Arabidopsis thaliana: one gene and its partners. The main gene of each other region encodes a partner of the protein of the gene in region 2 in a complex. Each region holds a gene or a part of one and is shown on either strand. Other genes may lie near its edges. The genes, in order: PSRP6, RPL27 and RPL21C.

Region 1 (3,534 bases), about 11 Mb from region 2:
TTGAAAATACGTTATAAGTCTTTATTCCAATATTCATGACAAGTAGTTATTCCTTTTGTATTCTTAGGAGTTATGTCATTTACTCTATATTGACACAACGTTACTTTGTAGTCAGATAAATATTTATGCAACGTAACCGATATTTCTATTGAAAACTGTTAACATTTTTTAACATGAAATTATTATACATTTCTATTAAATAATAATCGATCGTTTTTCATAAAGGAAAAGCTTGTTTTACGTATCTTTTAAAATTTTCTAGATAATATATAAATATTTCCGACCAAGATCAATTTCCTTTAATTAAGGTCCGAAATAAAAATATTGATAAACAAAAAAAGTATCCAAAAGATTCCTGGTATATTCATTTAGCTGGCATGGCTAGTGCAGTACAAAATACAAACTCTAATTCCAAGAAAACAAAATAACGCAATAATGCAAAGTGCAAACGGACGAGAGCAATCGATTCATATATGGTTCTCTTCTCGATGTAATGCAATCACATGACTAAAACTGGCTCAAATTAGGCCTTTATACAAGACACTTACCTGTAAATAGACTAATATTTGTTTATATAAAACCATCAAATAATATTGTAAACAAATATATATATATATATGTATGTATGTGTTATATATATGTATGTATGTGTTATATCGTGTATAACTATTTAATTTGTTTAATTCACTTGTTCGATTGTATCTTCTTCTTAAACTTAAATCATCTTTTGGTTATATGTGTGTGTCTAATAACTATGTAATCTTTCTTTCAATTCTAATAAAATAAAACAAGATGTTAAAAAAAAAAAAACTATTTAACTATCCATGGTTGATGACTCGTACTTAAGACAAATAATCAAATTTCGTGATTCTAAAAATGAATGAAATTGATTGATATATAAGTGGGATTAGAAAAAAAAGAGTCAGATAAGTGTTATCTCGCGGTTATAATTTCAACGGTGCTAAGATAAGGATAAGGTTTGCGAAACTATATACTAATGCAACAATGGGTACCGTAGGTTTGTGATACCTAATTTGATCTAACCAACAGAATCTCTTCGTACTAGTGTAATCGAGTGGCTGAGCTGTTGATATAGAGATACGTAGTACTATTATTGTAAATAAAGAACCCAAAGAATCAAATTTGTCGACAACAAAATAAGGGGTGATAATCCGATGCACGTGGATTTGGTGAATGTATTGGATAATGCTAGTCACGTAGAAGAAAGTAATCTTATTTTGGGCCATAATTTTAGTAAATGTTTTTGAGTCTACGTAAAGAAGAGTAATTTTCATGGCAATCGCAATTTTCGCTGACAATTGATTATTTTGATATAATGTGAAATTGGTTAGGTTGGTGATAGTAGCTAGTTTGAAGCCTAACTTAGGCTTGTTATTGAGGTATAATACATTATTAACCATAAGTATTAGACAGGTTTTGGACAAATATATTTATTGGTCGCTTTGGCAGCATTGAAAAACCCTAAAAGCCACTAGAATGGATGTCTTCGAATGTCAGTTCACATAAATGTTCGCTAGCTTAATTTTATTTTCTTTTTTAAAAGAGAGGAAGCAATGATAACATAAACATTTTTATAGTGTTTTTTTTGAAACAAAAAGTTAGTTTTCTTCCTCAAATTCGATAACTAAATTACACCATAAATGAGAATATGTTTTTAGTTAAGTAGTTAAATCCATTTGATTCTACCTTTTTTACCAGAGTTTGACTCTACTAAGTCGTGTTACTTCGCATAATAAGGATTGACTATGAATCGTGTCTTGTTTATAAAAAAAAGAAAAAAAAAATTACACAACAAAGTTAAGAAAATTCAAATTTATTAATTTAATAAGCATACTTTGAATATAAATAAATCCTAAAACTCAAACTAATAAAAAAAGTATTTTTTTGTGTAGTATTAAAAGATGCAGAATCCGAAATAATGTATTTTATTGTAGAAGTGATTCAAAAGACCTTATCTCGTAGTCACTTGTAGCATTATTGGTTTAAGGTTAAAGAAAACATTTAAAACTCTGTATACATCATACATGACATCTTTACAAATTGCAAAATATACATTTTTAATCAGCTACTCTATTCTTAAATTCCTTTAATTAACGAGGTTATACAGTTCGATACGTTTAAGCAACAAAAAGTTCGATGCCACTAATAATTTAATTTTTGTTCTCTTCTTATCTTATAGATTGTTGCAGCCTGCAGGCTTGCAGCATAACGAGTTACATAACTATATACAAAGGCCCAATAGACACCTCAAAGGCCCAATAAAAAAGCCCAGGAAAAACGAAAACGAAGATATGAAGTTCTTCTCTAATCCGAAGCAAGAGGCTCAAACTCACTTTCACTTGCACAAAGATAAGGAAACCATGTCTGTGTCAGCGATCTTTGGTACCGGAATCGTCACCGTTGCTGCTTCTCCGGTTCTCCGCCAATTTCAAGTTCCAAAATTGGGTAATGGAGGAGGATTAGGGATGGTGATAGAGTGTTCGTCGAGGCCACAGAAGAAATCGACGGCTCATCACAGGAAGACGAGGCCGAAGAAGACTCAGCCTTGGGACATTAAGAGAAAGCCTACTGTTTACGCTCCTCTTCCTCCTCTTCCGGCGGAATGGAGTCCGTTCACTCTCGCTTCTGACGACGGTGGTGCTGCCACTGCTGCGGGAGATTTGGTTTCAGGCGCTGCCTAGTTGGTATGAGTTATCTGCTGATTTGGTTGTAATCTAGTTTGAGAACTTTTGTTGTTGTTTACTGTGTTTTCAGTTTTCTGATGTTTGTTGTTGGGTTTGTTTGTGTTTGATTGGTGAATGAATGGACCAAATTTGCGATTTATAAAGCTTCAACCTTTCTCCTCTGTTTTTGAGTTTAAAGGTCTCAACTTTATAGTTTATAGCTCTCGTCATTGTCATCTATGTTGCTTCTCTATAATTGCTTTTTTCCTTTTGGGTCTCATTAATTTCTGCAAGTAGTAATTGAATTGGGATGACAAGAGTTTAAGTTTGATATGTGAAAATGAAAGCACAATGGTATCTGTTTTGTGGCGGTTGATGCTGGAGTTGTTGTCAAATGCTCTGTTTGCTGCCATAGCAATGGGAATGTAGCTTCTAAAGAGTACGGTATAGTATACCGCATTATTGGAATTTTAAAATTTCCCTTTAGATTGGATTCAGGTGAAACGGCAATGTGCTCTGCTCACCATAGTGCAACACTTGGTCTAAACACTCTATTGTAGATTTTTAAGCCAAGTGATCTAAAGTGTGTTTGATGAAGAGTTTCAGCAAAAACATTTTTAGAAATGTTTATATCAGTTATGGGTTGATCACTCTGATTCTTGAATCTATCTTGTATCGGTCTAGTCCCAGGAGAAATTTAGAAGATCGATTTATCTTGCATTGCATGTTTATGGAGTCAATTCCAAGATCAACATCAATGGCTATACATTTCATAAAGCACGCATACAGAGTACATCCCGTTGAACCCATTAAACCCTGACACCTTAAAAGCTTAAGTCAAATCATCTGG
Region 2 (3,666 bases):
TTACTACTGATATGCTTTGTTTTAGGATTTGTCTTTGTTCTTCTTCTTAATTACTGCTCCTAGAATTTAAAACTTCTCATCAATTACTATTTTTGCTCTAGGCCTTTAGTGTTATTCAATAATATATCGTCATCTTACATATATATATCGTTACATACATGTGTATAAGTATTTGACCTCAAGCTGGTGAAATATGGCCTAAAGATAACACAAAGGATCTAATATGGTACAGGTAAAACGTTAGCGAAATTGATGGATTCAAGATGAGCAAGATATAGATAAATGAAAAAAAAAAAACATAGAATAATAATTTCATTCCACTAATTATGCAATGATAGACGAAAATGAATATTATTCAATTTCTTTTTTGTACCACTATCTACATATTCCGAAATGCTAAGTAATTGGGCTAAAACCCATTATTTCGCTAGAAGGCCCATAAAGTCTTCGGCTTCTTAGACTAACAATGGATCCATTTTTGGGATCCAAATAAGTTTTATAATTTTTATAATAAAAAAACCTCAAATAGACACTTGAACTAGATTTATACTTGACTAAATCTAATTGGGGCATTCAAAGGTTTGGTGGTCTCTCTTATCAATGATTCAGAATTACTAAGTTGGAAGAGAAATTCACTAAATTAAAACCTTTGAGGCTTTGACTAATTAACAATAACCATTTGATTACACTAATAACTCAAGTTGGGTAAAAATCCGCCTGCTTGGGACTCAATTTGACAAAAGAGAGGCTTGGATTCGACAATACAACCAACTCTTAATACTCTGAAAGGATCATTTTTCATAAACAAGACTAAACAAAAAGAGACAAGGAAACTCCACATTCAATCTTCTAGCACTCCGGATTGGCTTCAGCATCATCGACTGAGGCAGATGCAAGAACAAGTTCTGGTGTAGGAAGTGTGTACGAGTAATTCTCGCGTCTCGCCTTCTTCTTCTCCCTTTGCAATCTGAAGTTTTCTCTCTTTCTTGCTCTGTAGCTATTGGGATTCTCTGGTACAATTTCTCTTGGATACACACTTATCTGCAAAAACAAGTCTCATTTCCTTTAACATCCTAGAAGATTAAGAAAGCTTATAAACCTTACTCAGTATAACTACAGGTATACCTTCTTCCTGTCAGGACCAAACTTCTCGAACTTGACTAATCCATCGATTAAAGAGAAGATGGTATGATCTTTACCAATCCCAACATTTTTCCCAGCATGGAACTGCACCAAACATCACCATTCATGAATCAATCTTCTCAAACAATATAGTTCCATCCTAAACACAAACATAACGTAGAACTTCCAGAGAAATGGCAATGGCATCAGAAACAAGAGCTACTAAATACGAAAATTCATCCTAAACCCAGATGTGTTCGAGAATGGAATCTGAAAACAGAGCTTGAGAGCTAAACCCATAAGAAACTGACCAAATTGACAGAGTTGCGGTGAAATTAGAAGAGAATTGAAAGAGGAGCTTAAGAGGTTCTCAATTTCAACAATTCTGTGTTCTTAAGTGTTACCTTAGTGCCACGTTGACGAACAATGATAGCACCAGGTTTAGCAACTTGGTCACCGTAGATCTTGACGCCGAGTCGTTGCCCAGGAGAATCACGACCGTTCTTGGTGCTACCAGCTCCTTTCTTATGGGCCGATTCAATTGTCAACGGAATCGGAGCTTGAAGATTTTCCAGAGGAAGAGTCACCGTGAAAGAGGTTTTGGGGGAAAAACTCAAATCGCCTCTAAGAAAAGACGAAGTCGAAGAAAGAGACAAGCCTTTGAATGCCCCAATTAGATTCAAACTCATCGATGTTGCCATCGCCATTGGTAAAATCACCAGAGAATTCGTTGGAGTTTCGAAATGGAGAAATTAGGGTTTTCTGAGGTTGAAGAAGAAGTTCTTCTCCTTATCGTTTCGTCTCACTCTCTCGATTAGTGACCACTAAAATTACACGTCATCAAATAATGTAAGATAAGGTGAGTACACGTCAGCAAGTAAATAATGGAAAAAGAGAAAAAAGTGAATGTTGACAGTGGGATTTGAACCCACGCCCTTTCGGACCAGAACCTTAATCTGGCGCCTTAGACCAACTCGGCCATATCAACTTGTTGTATAAAATATTAAATCTAAATATATAGACTACAGTTTCAAATATTCATTATATAGTAGAAATTTCTCAGATAAAAACAAAAACCAAACTTAGAATAATAATATGCAAGAAGCAGCCAAAAATAATTATAGACTTTAGCTATAATATTAAAACATAAATTAGGATTTATACTGACAATGTCACTCTAAAAATTATTTTTACATTGGCGGAAAAATGTAATTTTCTGATTTGGCAAAAAAAAAATATTATTTGATTTTGACATGTTTTTACAGTTTTGACCGAAAATTAAAAATTATATTATTTGAGTTTCATAGACTGTCTAGTTGGTTAGAGGAGAAAAAAGTATTATGAACAAGATGAGAGATCACTATGACTCTCCTGTCATTAGTAGCAAGCCTTAAATAATGTTTGGAGATTTTAATGAGATTTTAGAACTTGTGGAGCATTCTAGAGCTGAAGACAACCCTATTATACCAATGGAATGAGAGACTTTCAATCAGTGGTAAACTATTGCTTTGTTTGAGACCTATCATCCCATGGTCCGCTGTATACTTGGTGTAATAAGCGAGAAAATGATCTTATCTTAAAGAAGTTGGATAGAGTTATAGAGACATGGACACAAACTTTTCTTTTTGATTGGATGGAAAGTCATAGGAGAGTTATAGTGATCTCTCATCTCTACTAATTGTTTATGGTTTTCATATTTATTGACAAAAGTATCTTTCAAAGACCTTCATTGTTCTTGAAATTCGACGATGAAGGTCTTTGGAACGGTAAATGGTAATTGGTTGTTTATTCTCTTTTAGTTATGTTTTCTATATTTTCATTTCTTTCTGCCTTCAAAAGAATTTGATATCATGTCTGTTTCCTATTCAATTTGCCTACTAATGATTCTCTCTCATAGAATTATTGTGAACAGCCACTAAAATATTTTTACCATAATCGACATGCTTTCTTATCATAAGTCACTACACCTACTTGGAAATGAACACTGGATTGTTTGAAACAAATGCATATTTCGAAGGTTGAGTTAGAAAGTGATGTAAGATACTTATGCAAAAACTTAAGAGTAAGTCTTGCTAATCATCCAAAAGACCATGAGAAAATAACATTTTTATGTCGAAAGGGGAGGATTCTCTTTGTGCTCCCTCTGCCAATAAAGAGGCAAAACCAATATAGCTAGAAACCTAGCAATGTTCTTAAGAACGAAATATATAGCAAAGTCATTGGCTCCAATCCTTTTTGGATTTGGGTAGACCCATGTAATTACTAGGATCCGGATTAGTTATATGTTAACCATGTAAAAACTATGTTAAATAATTAAGAAATTAAATGTCCATTATCAAATTAAACTTCATCTGTTTTTCATTATACTGAAAATTACAAAACTAAAAATAAAGCAAGTAAGCAAAATCTAAAAATCCTCGTCAAGCTTGAAGACATGATCATCATTAAACGCAGCGTTTCCATGAACACTAGACATAACAGAAGCTTTCTGATACTCACCAACTCTCTTCTCAAAAAAGTTGGTCTTACCCTGAAGCGAAATCA
Region 3 (3,758 bases), on a different chromosome or scaffold from region 2:
TCAGAAGCTGCTAAAGATTTGATCTATAAAATGCTCGAAAGGAGCCCCAAGAAACGCATTTCTGCTCATGAAGCCTTGTGTATGTTCATTCTTTGTTGTTCATTTGGAATTAGCAACTGTTGTGAATTGTTTTTATGGTAAATAATGAGTATTGAGTTTGCTCTGAATGTTATATAGGTCACCCATGGATTGTCGATGAACAAGCAGCACCAGACAAGCCTCTTGATCCAGCAGTCTTATCTCGTCTAAAGCAGTTTTCTCAAATGAATAAGATTAAGAAAATGGCATTACGGGTATGAATTCGAGTAATATACATTCGCTTTTTCTTTATGTCCAATCCGTATGCTGATTTCTCTGAACACAGGTAATTGCTGAGAGACTTTCAGAGGAAGAAATTGGAGGTCTGAAGGAATTGTTCAAGATGATAGACACAGACAACAGCGGAACGATTACTTTTGAAGAGCTCAAAGCGGGTTTGAAGAGAGTCGGATCTGAACTGATGGAATCAGAAATCAAGTCTCTCATGGATGCGGTATGAAAGAACCAAAACAAACTCTTTCCTCTTTTCAAAAACTTTTGTTTCCGTTTAACATCCTCTGTGTGTTGTGGTCACAGGCTGATATCGACAACAGTGGTACAATAGACTACGGAGAATTCCTAGCAGCAACCTTACACATGAACAAGATGGAGAGAGAGGAGAATCTGGTGGCTGCATTTTCGTACTTTGACAAAGACGGAAGCGGTTATATCACCATCGATGAGCTTCAGTCAGCTTGCACAGAGTTTGGTCTATGTGATACACCTCTGGACGACATGATCAAGGAGATTGATCTTGACAATGTAAACCACTCTTCTTCTTCTTCTCTTTGTTTACCTCCTTCTTCAATGTTACTTTACTATAACCGAGAGCTTTTGAATTATGTAGGACGGGAAGATCGATTTCTCGGAGTTTACAGCAATGATGAGGAAAGGAGATGGAGTTGGGAGAAGCAGAACCATGATGAAGAACTTGAACTTCAACATTGCTGATGCTTTTGGAGTTGATGGTGAAAAATCTGATGACTGACTCATCATTCTTCCACAATTTCTGTTTTTTTTCTCTTTAATTTCGTTTATATTTTGAATTCTAATTTCTAAGGATACAAAAATATATTCTGGCTTGTTTTTTGCTTTCCTTTTTATTTTTGTACATGAGCAACTTTCTAAATTTTTATCCTCATATGGATAATTTTTGCTTCATATAAAAGTTTTTGAATTCCAAAGAAATGTGATTTAGGGATGGCGAAAAGAAACCGAACCGAACCAAAATCGGATTTCATAAGTAATTTTGTTATAATACAAACTGTGAAACTGTAGAAAATTCTTATAACAACCCAAACCAAATCTAAATTCTTATAACAACCCAGACCAAATCTCAAATTGAAACCAAATTTGGTGAATTTGTAATTAACCAATATTCAGAATTAATATAACTAATTAAATATAAAGTACATTTAAATACACTAAACACTATAAAGAGATTAAGAGTAGTTAGAATTATAATTTTTGTCAAAAATCGAACAAAACCAAAATTGATGTGTATATAATATATTACTTAATTGGAAAACCCAAAATCTGAACCGAAATAAACCGGTAAACCGAAATTGCAAGCTTAGAAATTAAACCAATTTGAAGACAGGGGTACAATGGTAATTTTCAAAGGAAGTGGATAGGATAACACTGCGGATTTATTCTCCGTCGAGCTCCAAAGTCTCGAGCTTAGAGCTCTCTCTCAGTCGAAAACAATGGCGTCTTCTTCAGCGACGCTCTCTCTCTGCTCTACTTTCTCTGCTCATTGCAATGTCAATTCTCGCCGTTCTAGCACTATCCTCTGTTCTCTCTCTAAACCTTCGCTTAATTTGGCTAAACCTCTGACTGGATTTCTTTCTCCTTCCACTGCGTCGACGTCTCGAACCGCATTCACCGTCGCTCCGAAATTCGCGGAATCAGTCGTCGAAGCTGAACCGGAGACTACCGATATCGAAGCTGTGGTGGTTTCCGATGTTTCGGAGGTTACTGAGGAAAAAGCTAAACGAGAAGAGATTTTCGCTGTTATTATGGTGAGCTTGTTGAATCATACGAAACAACAAATTCTCAATTTCGGTGTTTAGCTTTTGGAATTCGGAATTAGGTTTGGTTGATTGATGAATTTGATTTTAGAGTTTTGATAATGAGAGACTGTGTTTTTGTGGTATCTACTCTTAAGATTTAGGGTTTAGGTTTAACGAATGTTGACTTCTTAAGGGAGAGATTGTGTTTTTGTGGCATATACTCTTCAAGGTTTAGAGTTTGGCTTTGTTATAATTGATTTTGTTTCTCTCATTTGCAATCTCTGATTTAGCTTAGTGTTGTTCTCTTTGGTTTGAATAGGTTGGTGGACGCCAATACATAGTGTTTCCAGGGAGATATCTCTACACTCAGAGGCTAAAAGATGCAAATGTTGATGACCAGGTATATGCACATTTGCTTTCAATGACTATGTGATGTGTTCTTCTTTGTAAAAAACTCTGTGTACGAAATGGTATATCTGTGAAAAGATGATGTAACTATGGAAGATTGAGTAAACTTTGTGGCTTGTGTAGAAGTTCTATTCTTTTGCCTATGTTAACATTGTGTTAAGCTGTTCTCTGTTGCATTTTTGGTGATTCCTGAAGTTTTCATATTTTGTTTTTTCTCTTGTGCAGATTGTTCTCAACAAAGTGTTGCTTGTTGGAACAAAGACACACACTTACATTGGCAAGCCGGTTGTGACCAATGCCACTGTACATGCTGTTGTGGAAAGTCAAGTAAGTCAATACAAACGATTTCTTAAATTTCTGATTGGTGGTTTTGTATTTTCGACTATGTAGTCGCCTCTAAACTTGGAATAACCGGAATGTCATTTGTTGTTGTAGGGTTTGAATGATAAAGTGGTAGTCTTCAAGTACAAGCCTAAGAAGAAGTACCGTAGAAATATCGGTCACAGACAGGTATTGCTGAAAGTCCTCTTCCTTATATTTGAACTATGTAATGTTACAATCAACAGACTACTATCAGTTACTTGTTGTAATTTGCTATGGCTGATGAAACTGAAATCTCTTTGAAGTAATGACACTTATGTTGTGACTTATGTGTTGATATTGTAGCCGAATACGAGGATTAGGATTACCGGAATCACAGGGTATGAAGAGTATCCAGCCTCGCCCAATGTTGCAGTTGGAGAAGTAAATCTTTGACACAAAATGTTTCTTGAATGTTAAAATTTTTCTGATCTTCTCTATGTAATTTTGTAAGGACCCTGGTCATTTCATTTCTGCTGAGATTCCTTTTATTAATATGTACCTTTTGCCATTCTTTGATCACAAATTCTAAGTTAGTGTATGAAAACTTCAATATAGCTCATCCATCAATCTACGCATACTAATGAATTTTATAGAATAAAACAACTTCTACCACTTCAGTGGACACAATACAGAAATACAGAAATTGATATTGAGATTTTGAAAATGGACGGGACCGTCCATAACATTTTTCCGTCCGCAAAGGCACAAACACATGAAAGACATTATGGTGTTTTTTGATATGTTTTTGACAAAATTTTGATATGTTGTTGCGATTTTCTAGTAAAAGACATTATGTGCACCAATAGTGTGAGATGTATTATGGTGATTTTCTGATGAGGAATTGAGAAATGAGTTTTTTTTATTATATATATGCAAAAGATAGATTGTCTCCGATTA

What was found.
Region 1: RPL27 (region 2) and PSRP6 share a complex: the UniProt entries of both Arabidopsis thaliana proteins name them as parts of the 50S ribosomal subunit.
Region 3: RPL27 (region 2) and RPL21C share a complex: the UniProt entries of both Arabidopsis thaliana proteins name them as parts of the 50S ribosomal subunit.

Annotation. Positions count from the first base shown.
Region 1 is NC_003076.8:5,905,436-5,908,969, forward strand, and holds PSRP6 (plastid-specific 50S ribosomal protein 6), read left to right. Parts: upstream 1-2,153; 5' UTR 2,154-2,312; coding exon 2,313-2,702; 3' UTR 2,703-3,029; downstream 3,030-3,534. Other genes in the region: CSA1 (disease resistance protein (TIR-NBS-LRR class)), read right to left, coding at 3,439-3,500.
Region 2 is NC_003076.8:16,409,029-16,412,694, reverse strand, and holds RPL27 (ribosomal protein large subunit 27), read right to left. Parts: upstream 1,914-3,666; 5' UTR 1,830-1,913; coding exon 1,527-1,829; intron 1,228-1,526; coding exon 1,126-1,227; intron 1,042-1,125; coding exon 850-1,041; 3' UTR 581-849; downstream 1-580.
Region 3 is NC_003070.9:13,206,993-13,210,750, forward strand, and holds RPL21C (Ribosomal protein L21), read left to right. Parts: upstream 1-1,690; 5' UTR 1,691-1,784; coding exon 1,785-2,099; intron 2,100-2,409; coding exon 2,410-2,490; intron 2,491-2,723; coding exon 2,724-2,825; intron 2,826-2,933; coding exon 2,934-3,008; intron 3,009-3,164; coding exon 3,165-3,254; 3' UTR 3,255-3,436; downstream 3,437-3,758. Other genes in the region: CDPK2 (calcium-dependent protein kinase 2), read left to right, coding at 1-79, 178-293, 365-532, 616-840, 926-1,066. UniProt on the Arabidopsis thaliana protein: This protein binds to 23S ribosomal RNA in the presence of protein L20.